Linked DNA regions of Sus scrofa. The protein of the gene in region 2 purifies or fractionates together with the protein of the main gene of each other region. This does not show direct contact. Links are inferred from orthologs where the notes say so. Each region holds a gene or a part of one and is shown on either strand. Other genes may lie near its edges.

What was found.
Region 1: the proteins of DCP1B (region 2) and BAG4 purify together in Homo sapiens (affinity purification with mass spectrometry; 3 studies listed by BioGRID and IntAct, counting the BioPlex papers as one, with this or other methods). This does not show direct contact. The link is inferred for Sus scrofa from reciprocal best matches to the Homo sapiens genes DCP1B and BAG4.

What each region holds. Positions count from the first base shown.
Region 1 is NC_010457.5:48,302,790-48,308,891, forward strand, and holds part of BAG4 (BAG family molecular chaperone regulator 4), read right to left. Parts: intron 5,658-6,102; coding exon 5,403-5,657; intron 4,938-5,402; coding exon 4,683-4,937; intron 3,967-4,682; coding exon 3,481-3,966; 3' UTR 1-3,480. UniProt on the Homo sapiens protein: Inhibits the chaperone activity of HSP70/HSC70 by promoting substrate release. Prevents constitutive TNFRSF1A signaling. Negative regulator of PRKN translocation to damaged mitochondria.
Region 2 is NC_010447.5:68,933,664-68,939,765, forward strand, and holds part of DCP1B (mRNA-decapping enzyme 1B), read right to left. Parts: intron 5,016-6,102; coding exon 4,949-5,015; intron 2,630-4,948; coding exon 2,476-2,629; intron 1-2,475. UniProt on the Homo sapiens protein: May play a role in the degradation of mRNAs, both in normal mRNA turnover and in nonsense-mediated mRNA decay. May remove the 7-methyl guanine cap structure from mRNA molecules, yielding a 5'-phosphorylated mRNA fragment and 7m-GDP.

The DNA of each region.
Region 1 (6,102 bases), on a different chromosome or scaffold from region 2:
GATCCTTAACTGACTGAGCCAGACATTGAACCCTCATCCTCATGGATACTAGTAGGTTCTTAAGCCGCTGAGTAACAACAGGAACTCCCAACCCTATTTTTAAAAGCATTTAAAAGAATTCTCCACCAACAATGTAGCAATCAGCATAGCCCATTCTGCTGATACTTCATTAGAACTTATTTGTCTCAGTATTTATATTGGCATTTATATTTGGAACAATATGGAACTATAAAGAAAACTTAGTTGTGTCTAACATGCCAGATCTAGATAATCGTATTTACAATTTTGACAAAAATTATCCCCAAAGTAATATAAATATAGACACTTTTTAAAAGTCCAGATGTGAAATATCAAAACATTTTATGGGAGCTTCCTGGTGGCCTAGCGAATTAAGGATCCAGCGTTATCACTGCTGTGGCACGGGTTTACTCCCTGGCCAGGAACATCTATGTGCCATGGGCATGGCCAAAATAATAAATAATAATAATAATAATAATAATTTTTTAATTCAGTCTGGAATCGATACTGTCAAAAACAACCAAATACACAAAAAAAAAAAAAAAAAGAATACTATTTTCCTTTTTAAGTTCACTATTTTTTTCTGGAACAGGCTGCCAATTTAGTTTTTCTTTCCTTGATATTAGCATCTGGAATCATTTTAACATGGTTTATACCTTTAAGTTCTAAGTTTGTACTTATCCTGAATGTCTTACTATAATTAAAAATATAAACCCAGAAGCAACAGCCCTTCCTCACAGAAGTCCAATGAATAAATGTAGAAGGAATGAGAGAAAGAGAAAGCCACCACAGGAACACCACAGTAGTAACTGACACCAGCAAGGTCTGCCAGTGGATAGAAAAATGAGTGGGTAAGTTTAAGCACAAATAGGACATTTGCATAGCTCGAATTATTTCTGGCAAACACTCAGTCATTACAAAGGAAAACACAGCAAGTTTACAACCAAGAGGCCTAGGAGACACCACCTTAGGTGGTATTAAGGTAAACAACACCAATAGTTCATTACCACATCAGGGGTCATGACACAACGTCACACTTTGAAGCCATGACAGTGGAATGCAAGACAGGGTCCTAGACTGGATCCCCAGACAGTGAAGGACCTTAGTGAAAAGATTACGAAAATCTCTACTTTCAAAACTCTCTAGTTAATAGCATTGTATCAAGGCAACTTTCTTAACTTGGCAAACGTTCTACAATTATGTAAGATGTTAATATAAGGGGATGGTGACTGAAGGGTATAAACGAACTGTTTTTACAACAGTTCAGGAGAGTGTTGTTTTTACAACACTTCAGGAGAGTTAAAATTCTCAAAATTTAAAACATAACTGTTAAAAATTTAAAACATACATATATATGAATATATGTGTCTAACATGTTATTTAGACTTCAAGGAAAATAACGTTAAGACTCCAGGGAAACTGGTATCTGGGGCACTCAGTTAAAGAGCAGTTTTCTCTCCTGAATTAGTCACTGTCTCACTGGTTGCTAACTTAGTTTTAAGGTTCTTCCCCTTCCAAATATTTAGTTTCAAGTACTTTTAAATTTTCATAGAAAAGCTTACTTTTAAACATTCCTCTATTAGGCCAAAATTTAAAATCCTAGAATAAAACTGTCACCACGGAGTTCCCATCGTGGTGCAGCGGGAACAAATCTGACTAGGAACCATGAAGCTGCAGGTTCGATCTATGGCCTCGATCAGTGGATTAAGGATCTGGCGTTGCCATGAGCTGACACAGCTTGGATCTGGTGTGGCTGTGGCTCTGGCGTAGGCCGGCAGCAACAGCTCCGATTAGACCCCTAGCCTGGGAACTTCCATATGCCACAGGAGTGGCCCTAAAAGGACAAAAAAAAAAAAAAAAAAAAAAAAGACAAAAAAACTGTCACCAAATTATCTCATAAAATCACTTCTACCAACCACATGACCCGACCATTTCTTCTCATCATATAATATGATTGTATTGGTGTTGTTTATAAGGAGAGGGAAGGGCTAATAGATTTATTTTATTAATAGGCCTGGCAGTGAAGAAAAAAAAATTATCAGTTGGCTATCTTATTAAGAAATAACAGTTTTTGCAATAATAGATATTGTGTACTGGAACCCACTTCAGATGTAAAAAGCAACTTACCTAAGTCACTTCTATGTGGTAGCATAGGGCTACCAAAGCAAACCCAGCTAAGATCTTTCATTATCCCTTCCTTAAATCTGACTCTAATGTGACTGTTATTAGCGGTGGTAAACATCTTTTAAAAAAAAAAAAAAAAAACAGGCAATACTGTCTATGCAATTTATTCCAAGGGAATAAAGATAAACATCAGGTCTACCTTTCAAAAGCTGAACATAATTTCTCACTCTAGCTATGGCTGCTGATTCATTCCCTGAGCATGAATCCTCTTTTACCCACATTGTTTCTTACTATAAACTGAGCTGAAATCTGCCCATAGGGGTCCTGATGGTGAAGTTAATATTCTAGATGGAGAAGAGCATTCCCAAACGGTTGTATTTATTACTTTTGCAATTATTATTTCTACTTGCTGTGGCATTTAATTTTTCATTTGTATTTAGCATGTTGCTCCATATGGAAACAGCTATAGTAAAAAGATGGGGGGTGGGGTGGAGTTTAAAGTGGATCTTCATCCAAATACCATTAAAAAAGCAAAAAGTAAAATGGCCACATTTTCATTTCTATACCCATGCCATTTTAACCAAATTAACCTTCCAAAAATAACATGAAAAGCAGAAGTGGTAAAACTCTAACCTAATGATCTATACAAAAAAGGAGACACTCTACCTCAGGAACTCACTACACATTGCAATATACTCAAGTGGTGAAAAGATAAAAATTCAACCAGAACTGCCATACTCTCTGGCTGTCAATACAGTCTCCTGAGTAATTATATTAAACATATTACTACAAAATGTACCAAGAAGTAGAGAATAGTACTATATTTGTGAACTGCAAGTAACAAAACAAAACAGAGGTCCAAGAAAGCTAAAGTCCAAGCTGTAATTTACACGTAAAGTGTATGTTGAAAGCCGTCACGATGTACAAAAATGTGACAAGTAATCCAGACGTTTAAAAAAAAAACAGAGCTTGTTTGTCTCAGATAGTATCCAGTCTTATCTGGTAGGTTTCTGATAAGCCTGTTACATAAAGTGTATTTCCCTCCTGCTGATAAGAAGCAGCTTGCAGATACCCATACATTTCTTAAGGGGTGAGTCTACTTGACAATATTGATAATGCCATAGTTTCCTATTACATTCATTGGTCTGAAAATTGAAAACAACCCATAATCCAACTTTTCTTCCAAGTCCTTTACCAGTTTTTCAAGTTTTATAGCGAACGAAATTGGAATGTATTGCTTCTTGTCATCAACAGGCATTTCAAAACGAGGGTAATTAACCAAAATCAAGAGTTCTTTGGTCAAGTTAGTAACAGGCTTCCCCTTTGTTCTAAATCCCTTCATAATCCTTTTTTTTCCAATTTTTCCAGTATGGCCTGGATTTTACAAACAGCCTCTTTCCTGGCCTGCCGGACAGTGTCCTGGCCCCCAGTTTCAACTGAATCCAGTTCCAAAAGTTCCTTGGTTAGCATTTCCTCCAGAAGCCAGTATGCTTTGTCTGTCTTTTTTCCTACGAACTCTTCTACTTCTTGCTCAAGATATTGGACCTTCTCCAGCACATGTATGATTTTTTTAATACTTGGGGGAGTCCCTTCATCTGAAGATAAACACTCGTCAGGAAGATTATTACTCGGATCTTGATTGCTGGGATGTTCATTGCTGGCATGACCATACAGCTGAGGCTCGGCACTGTACTGGACTTGGGAATCCAAAAGCTCTGAATCATCACTGTTCATTGTTCCCGAGGACTCGTACTGATGGACACTGCAAGGAAAGCTGTGCCGGCTCATGCCTTGATCTGATTGGCTATAGGGGTATGAGGAATCCTTGGAGCAGAAGAGCAAAGAGGGGAAAAAAGCTGTTTTAATGGGAATCTATCATATTTGTTAGCCCACATCTTTTATCTGACCAGCTAGGTAGATGAAAAGATTACCCACCAATAAAACTCTTAAGCCCTCCTTAATCATTTTGAGAAAAACACAGCCCTAAAAAGACAAGAGGCAGATAATTCCTGAGCATAAAGGCTAGAATCTATCCTCAGGCAGGTCATCATCATGAAGACCTCATAATCTATCCTTACTACCTCACAATCCGTCCAGTGACTTAATAAATAGGAAATAGATAGTTTTTTCCCCTAAAGTGAGAAACCCTTAAGACAAATCTTGAAAAGGAACCTAGCCACAGGCAAACGCTGTCTGAGTCTATGGCTTAATGAAACCATGCAATTTCATACTGGTTTTGCCTTCTGTCTGGAGACTGAGGTAATAAAATCCAGTCTTTGATTTTGTTTAACAGATAGCATTACAACACATAGTAAAGGAATGTCTTTTAAAAATAGATGTGAACCTAATACTCCTCTAAAAAATAAAGTCTTGAATAAAATTTTTTTAAAAAAGGAAACTGGGCTACGTAAAGCTATAGGGTAGTAGCCACCAACTTTTTGAAATTAGTCCTCATTTAACACAGACCAATGCAGACAAATTCCACGTTGTGCTCCTTGTTACCCAAACATCAGAAGACCAATGTTCAGAAGGTCTCCTACCTTGGGCTGCGGGGGTGGTGGTGAAGGAGGTGGCTGAGGAGAGCCACTGCTAGGCCATGACGAAGCACTTTCGCTCACATAGAGACTCCCAGGTGGTGCTGAGGGCGAGGCTGCAGGCCATGGGTAGCGGGTTCCCACTCCATAAGTGCCAGGAGGGGCCCATGCGTCCTCCTGTGGTCGCACGGTGGGTCCTGGTTGTGGAACACTACGGTTACCATCCCCATAAGGGTAGTGGGGCACGCTCATTCCAGGGTTCTGGATTGAGAGGAAGGAAATAGGCTGGTCACTGCTAAAAAGCACTTTAAAGAAAATGTTCTAGTGTAAATAGATTCTGAGATGCTTCTTCTCTGCTTAACGGAGTACATTTTTGCTGTTACTGGGCTAACCTGTAGCATCTCTAACTAGGTGCAATAATTTCTCCAAGCCTAAAAAGGCCAGGTTCCAAAGCTACCAGGGGCAGATCTGCTGATGATCAAACTCAGAAGGAATAGGACCTAAATTCAAGGTCTGCCCACAGATACTATAAATAAATGGATCCATGTGCTATAAGGAAGCACAAATACATATTAGAACTCTCCTTGAAGTGAACAGAGAAAAACATGGGATCATTCACAGAATATTAAAAAAAATATAAACCTCACCTCTTGAGGTAAACAGAGAAATAAACTTGGTACCATTCATTCATACTAACAAATAAAACCACCACAGAAACATGCTCACCTGTGAAGCAGGATATCCTGAAACCTGCCCCCTAAGAGGGGGTGCTTCAGTCTGACAGTCCTGCTGGGGATACATCCAACGGGACACTGGGGTTGGGCTGTTGCCAGGTGAACGGTAAGTGCTTGGAACCTCTGTGGAGTAACTGGTCTGAGCATACCCGGGTGTGTAATAAGCCCCGGAGTAGGAGGCAGGGTTTGTGCCAGGGCCAGTGGGGTATGGTGGGCCATATGCTCCATTTGTATAAGAATTCAAATTCTGTAAAAAGGCAATGTTGGGAGGAAAAAAAAAAAAAAAAAAAAAAGACGAATGAGTAGAAGAGCTAAATGCCCTCACTCTGAAAACTTTGAGAAAGGAAATCAGTAACCAATGAAAACATGAACTACCGAATTGATCTTTGAGGCATTCTTTTGTATTATAATCATATACATACATAAGTTCAGATTATTACTGAAGAGTCTGTGTCATAACAATGGGAGAGTATATGGTGATGAATTATGAACCAATGGCCTTAGAGCAGTGCTTCTCGACCATTTCCACAAGTGCACCTAACAACCATATCTAATAGCAGAGGACTTGCCTCTACCAAATGGGCAGGGGGTTCTAGGAAACTTGGGAGAATGGCTGGAGATAGAAGACAATAACCATGATACAACAAAAGAAAAAAAGAACACAGAGACAGACCTAGCCTGACCACAGGCTT
Region 2 (6,102 bases):
TTTAAGTTCCCAGAGGGTGAAAATGTCACCTTTAAGATTAATTTCAAAACAACAACAACAACAAAAACAAAACAAAACAAAACAAGATGGAGTTCCCGTTGTGGCACAGCAGAAACGAATCTGGCTAGGAACTGTGAGGTTGCAGGTTCGATCCCTGGCCTCACTCAGTGGGTTAAGGATCCGGCATTGCCCTGAGCTGTGGTGTTGGTTACAGATGAGGCTCGGATCTTGAGTTGCTGTGGCTGTAGTATAGGCCGGCAGCTATAGCTCTGATTCGACTCCTTGTCTGGGAACCTCCATATGCCCCAAGTGTGGCCCTAAAAAGACAAAAAAGACAAAAATAAAAAAGGAAAAACTTTAAGGAGTTCCAGTTGTGGCTCAACAGGTTAAGAACCTGACATAGTATCCATGAGGATGCGGATTCGATCCTTGACCTTGCTGACTGGGTTAAAGATCCGGTATTGCCACAAGCTGTGGTGTAGGCTGCAAATGTGGCTTGGATTCCACATGTCTGTGGCTATGGTGTAGGCTGGCAGCTGCAGCTCTGATTCAACCCCTGGCCTGGCAACTTCTATATGCTGCAGGTGTGGCTGGAAACAAAGATTAATATCTAACGGCACAACTACTAAAGTATAATTAAGTCACTGGGATATCTTTTTTCTTTTTTTTCTTTTCTTCCTTCCTTCCTTCCTTTCTTTCTTTCTTTCTTTCTTTCTTTCTTTCTTTCTTTCTTTCTTTCTTTCTTTCTTTCTTTCTTTCTTTCTTTTTTAATGGCCGCACCCACAGCATATGGAAGTCCTCAGGCTAGGGACTGAATCTGACTTGAGTTGCAGCTGCGACCTATGCCCCAGCTGCAGCGATGCCAGATCCTTAACCCACTGGGCCAGGCCAGGGATTGAACCAGCGCTGTCAGAGACAACACTGGATCTTAACCTGATGTGCCACAACAGGAACTCCATGGAATATCTTTTAATGGCTGCTGAAGAATTAAACAAACTAAAACATGGATCCAGAGCTCGTTGTTCCTGATGGAAGCTGGGGAGAAGGCATCCACATCGGGGCCCTGTGACAGGAGGAGGTGGTTTGTTCATGTTCATTCAACAGCCTTGGGTTGCTGCTGGCCATGTGCCAGTCTCTGAGGGTGACCGGGGCACAGAGGTGACATGGGAAGCTCCTGTCCCCCAGGAGCGCACCTCTAACCATCACGTCCGAGGCAGGTTGCAGAAGCCTGGTCAGCTGTCCTGACTGCTTCCTACCTGCCTGATCCCCTTGAGTCAGTGCTACAGACAGACTCAGTAGCAGCTCCTTTGCCTAGCACATCCTGAAGAGGTGCTGAGTACCTGACGTTACATGGTGGTGGGCAGCTCGGCACGTTCAGCAGGTGGTCAAGTTTCCATTAACCCTTCTCAGGGCACTAACATTATTGATCATCTTCGTCCGTGTCAATTACTTCACTGGGAGTTTAAGTTCTATCGTTCCATCCACATGTAAGAGCTGGAGGTCTTGGGCAGAAGGCCTTTCCCTCATCAACCGGTTAGGTAGTGCCACTGGCCAGGCAGGATAAATGCTTGCTTCTTTCCCACTGACCAGCAACTGTGAGAGGAAGAGGCTAATTCTCCTTCCTACTTCTGGTGTCCTAGTACCTCCAAGGAGAGCCAGTAAATATTTCATACAGGCTGTGTTCCTTTCTTGTTCATTTTACCCCAGAGCATTTACAATTTTTTTTTTTAATTAAAGTATAGGAGTTTCCATCGTGGCTCAACGGAAACAAATCTGACTAGCAGCCATGAGGACGCAGGTTTGATCCTCATGTGGATTAAGGATCCAGCGTTGCTGTGGCTGTGGTGTAGGCCAGCAGCTGTAGCTCCAACTCGACCCCCAGCCTGGGAAACTCCATATGCTACAGGTGCAGCCCTAATAAATAAATAAATAAATAAATAAGTAGAGTTGATTTACAATGTTCTGTCAATTTCTGCTGTACAGCAAAGTGACCCAGTCACACACACGTATACATTCTTTTTCTCATGCTATCTTCCACTATGTTCTATCACAAGTGACTGGATATAGTTCCCTGTGTTACACAGCAGGATTTCATTGCTTATCTATTCTAAATGTAATAGTTTGCATCTGCTAACCCCAACAAGAGCATTTTTGTTGGCATGCATTAGTTCCTGGGCCAGGGATCGAACTGGTGCCACATCAGTGACCTGAGCCACAGCAGTGACAACACTGGATCCTTAACCCACTGTGCCACTGGAGAACTCCCCCGAAGTATTTTCTATGAATTTGTTGATACCGTCAGTGAAGTCTTCCAACACATCTTCTGAATGGAGATTATTTGTATACATGAAGGCTACTGATTTCTCATGCTGCCTTTTAAGCCAATTAAAACCAGTCTTTAGCCTATTAAACGCCAGTAAAGACTTTATGGTGTGTAATTTTGTCTGGCTTGGTGCACAGGGGAGATGGACTCACCTTTGTGTACTCGTCCCTGGCCTTGGTGAGCATTCGTAGGATGTCCACCTCCCTGCTCTCCCCTGAACCGAGGGTCATCGTGGGGCCTCCTGCTCTGGCTGCTGCTCCTGCCCCAGTTCCGTGGTGGGCTTTCAACTGTTCATACTGAGTTAGGCTGTTAAAACACAGGGGAAAGCCACATAAGAAAAGCCAATTCAATTCAGTGCAACTGTTTTTTTAAACCATCCAATTCTCACCCAGTTATTATCTTGTTATAATCATGTTAGAAATAAGCCTGCTTAGGAAGTGAGAGAAGGAAAATGGGAGTTGAGTTTTGAGTACACTGACCACATGGATGAATCTGGAGGGGGTGGGGCCCAGCCCCTGTTTTCTATGGCAAGTTAACAAGGACACCTGTCTATGCATTGTCTGTAGGCAGGTGCCACATAGTCAGGGAAGGGCTGAGTGGCTGAGACAGAAACCTGGTGGCCTTGCAAAGCCAAAAACAGTCACTGTCCGGTCTTTTTCAGAAAAAGTTTGCCAGCTCCTCATGGAGGCATTTGAAAGGATGCAGTATTGCTGAGGAAACCCAATTCAGGGCTGTCAAACACCGAGCAAACTGCGTGGCAAAGCGAATTTTTGCCTCGGTCCAAAGTGCCTGGAAGTCAAAGCAGGGCTGATCCCAGATCCTCTGATCCCATGTCCCAGCCAGTTTAGAAACACAGTGAAGATTCCGCCCAGAAGAAGGGCACTGAAGCAGCAGCAAAGAGGAGCGTCTGCGTTTTCGGGAAAACAGCACAGAGGGGAGGCGGACTGCTCCTGCAGGGCACAGGCACACCGAGAGGGACTCACCCTCCCTCTGAGCTCCAACTGCAGCTGAACCTCCACTAAAACTGCCCTGAAGTCTATGGTGACAGGTGACAGTGATGGGGTCTGAGAATTTACTGAGAGGTTCAATGCTAACAAGAATAGGCTTGGAATCCACACAAACTGGAGGCTCATTGCTCAACGATCAATTTCCTGCCCCAGCTGTTGAGTAATCCCTGCAGATGCTGAGAATTTTTCCCCGCCCGGGCTGAGCCACAGGGTATTTTTTAATCTAGATGAAATCCTGCTATTATTACCCATTGCAGTTTACAATACCATGAATGTTCTAGGAACCGGTTGTTATGGTGGTAAATATTGGTTTGAACACACTTAATCACCAGCTGCAGCTTGAGCTAGTTACCTAAAATTAGCTATCACAAGCTAGGTTTTCCAGAAATCAATCTTATTTATAAAAAAGTGCTCACCACAGTCCATATTTTGGGGTCACTTTTTAGCTATTTCATTGATTCAGAATTTAAAACTGAAAAATGGCTCTTTTGCAGACGGAGCCACTCTGTGTTCAGACGAGTCCAGTTGGCACAGATACAACACAGGCAAGAAACACATTTCCTTCGAGGCACTAAACTGTCTGTGAGAATGCAGGGAAAGACCTGCCTCCCTATAAGCTGCCCTGGGGCTCAAGAACTGGTCAGAGCTGACAGACCCCACGGGAGACAGCATGCTGCCCTGGGCCTCCTTTCAGTGTCATCGGTGGGGCTGACAGTGGGACAGGCAGATGGGAATTTAAGTTTCCCCAAGTGCAGGCTGGGACTAATCACAAGGCATCATGTGATTAACAGAAAAAGAGACTAGTCACGAGAGAGAGACGTCTACTGATCCCTAAACTGGTATTAGCTCAGGGATTTCCAAAAAATTGAAAACACAGACTCTCCTCAGCACTAGCAGAGTCTGAGCCTCACAGGAGCAGGTAGAGGAGAGGCTCAGGGCTGCAGGAAACAGGGCAGCCATTTAGAACGGCTCTGGACACTCTCTTCACTGACGACACCTCAAAGGAAAAAACTGCTAATTTACAAATGAGGATAATATTAAGGAAAAACTGCCATCTGGGAAAAATTCATATAACATATTTCACATGTGCAGGAAAAAATGAGGTGAACCATTCTATAACTTTACTTAGTGGAAATATAAAATGTCATCCTTTTTATTGATTGACTGATTTATTGATTGTCTTTCTCTCTTTTTAGGGCCATACCCTCGGCATCTGGAGGTTCCCAGGCTAGGGGGTCCAGCTGGAGCTGTAGCTGCCAGCATACGCCACAGCCACAGCAACACAGGATCTGAGTGAGCCTCGTCTTCGACCTAGCCATGTCTGCTGACCTAGCTGCCAGCCACAGGTCACAGCAAAGCCGGAGCCTTAACCCAATGAGGGAGTCCAGGGATCGAACCTGTGTCCTCATGGATGCCAGTGAGGTTTGTTAATGGCTGAGCCACGATGGGAACTCCTATTTATTTTTTATTTATTAAGCAATAGTGACTGTTTTGCTAACCACTGTGAAAAGGACTGCTGTAAGAAGTGTATGCTGCTAAGATGACAGTGTGGTTAACACACTTAGAAATACAAACAAAAGCACCAGGTCCTGACAAATACTTAGCCTGCAGCACTTACTTTTTCATAAGCTCTGCAATTCTTTGGCATTCTTCCTTGTCATAAAACCAAATTCCATATATGGACACTGCAAAAAACACATCGAGCAAATTATGAGCATCTTCAAAACTACACGATGCAAAGAAACTTCCTTTCCATCTTGAAGGAAATACAAACTCACTGAATAAATGAAACCAGTCATTCGAGTTAAAGCTTGAACACCTCACACTGGGGCTTTTTAGGCCCACGGAGAAGTCTATAGAGGGTCTATGCACGCTTGTGTGTGCGCACACGCACGTGCCCGCATGTGAGCATATTCCACTTTCATTTTTTTTTTTCTTTTTAGGCGTTTCCTTTGGCATATGGAAGTTCCCAGCTGGGGGTCAAATTGGAGCTTGCAGCCGCTGGCCTACAGCTGGATTCAAGCCAAGCCGCGTCTGTGACCTATGCTGGTAACACCAGATCCTTACTCCACTGAGTGAGGCCAGGGATTGAACTTGCATTCTCACAGAGACAACATTGGGTCCTTAACCCACTGAGCCATACTGGGAACTCCTGTCTTTAAAGTTTTCGGAAACCTGATGTACAAAGTAGGCCTGGAAGCGGAGAGGAGCCCTCCTCTTTCTCCCAGAGGGGGTTAACTGAAAGACTGGCTTTGTAAGCCCTAAGCGAAGATAGGGAGCAGGAAAAACAAAATTCAATAAGAAACCTCTGACTTCAAAATGTCTGCACAGAATATTTACAACTGCTGAAAGATTAGATATGGTTATGGCTTAATGACTTCGTGATGAAAGAACAATGTGGTGTAATGTAGCTGCTATTGATACATGTAAGAATTTTCAAATAAATTATATACTTTAGCATGTGCCTATCCATGCCATTTTTACAGCAAAGGCTAAACAGTTCCAAAACACACTGATAAATATCCGGTTGTGGGTCTGGTGGTATTAATCATATAAATAATACATTAACTACAAACACATTTAAAATAACCTTCACTGAAAATAGCTGCACTGTTAACATGTGGTGATAAAAACCAACAAAATATATTTTTAAAAGGAAATTATTTTTTAAATGTAAACTTGCAAAATATTTAATTATGTGAATATTATTTGGTCATTAAAACAGCTGCAATATTTTGACAACTTTTTTCCCCTGCTCACCTAACCAATGGT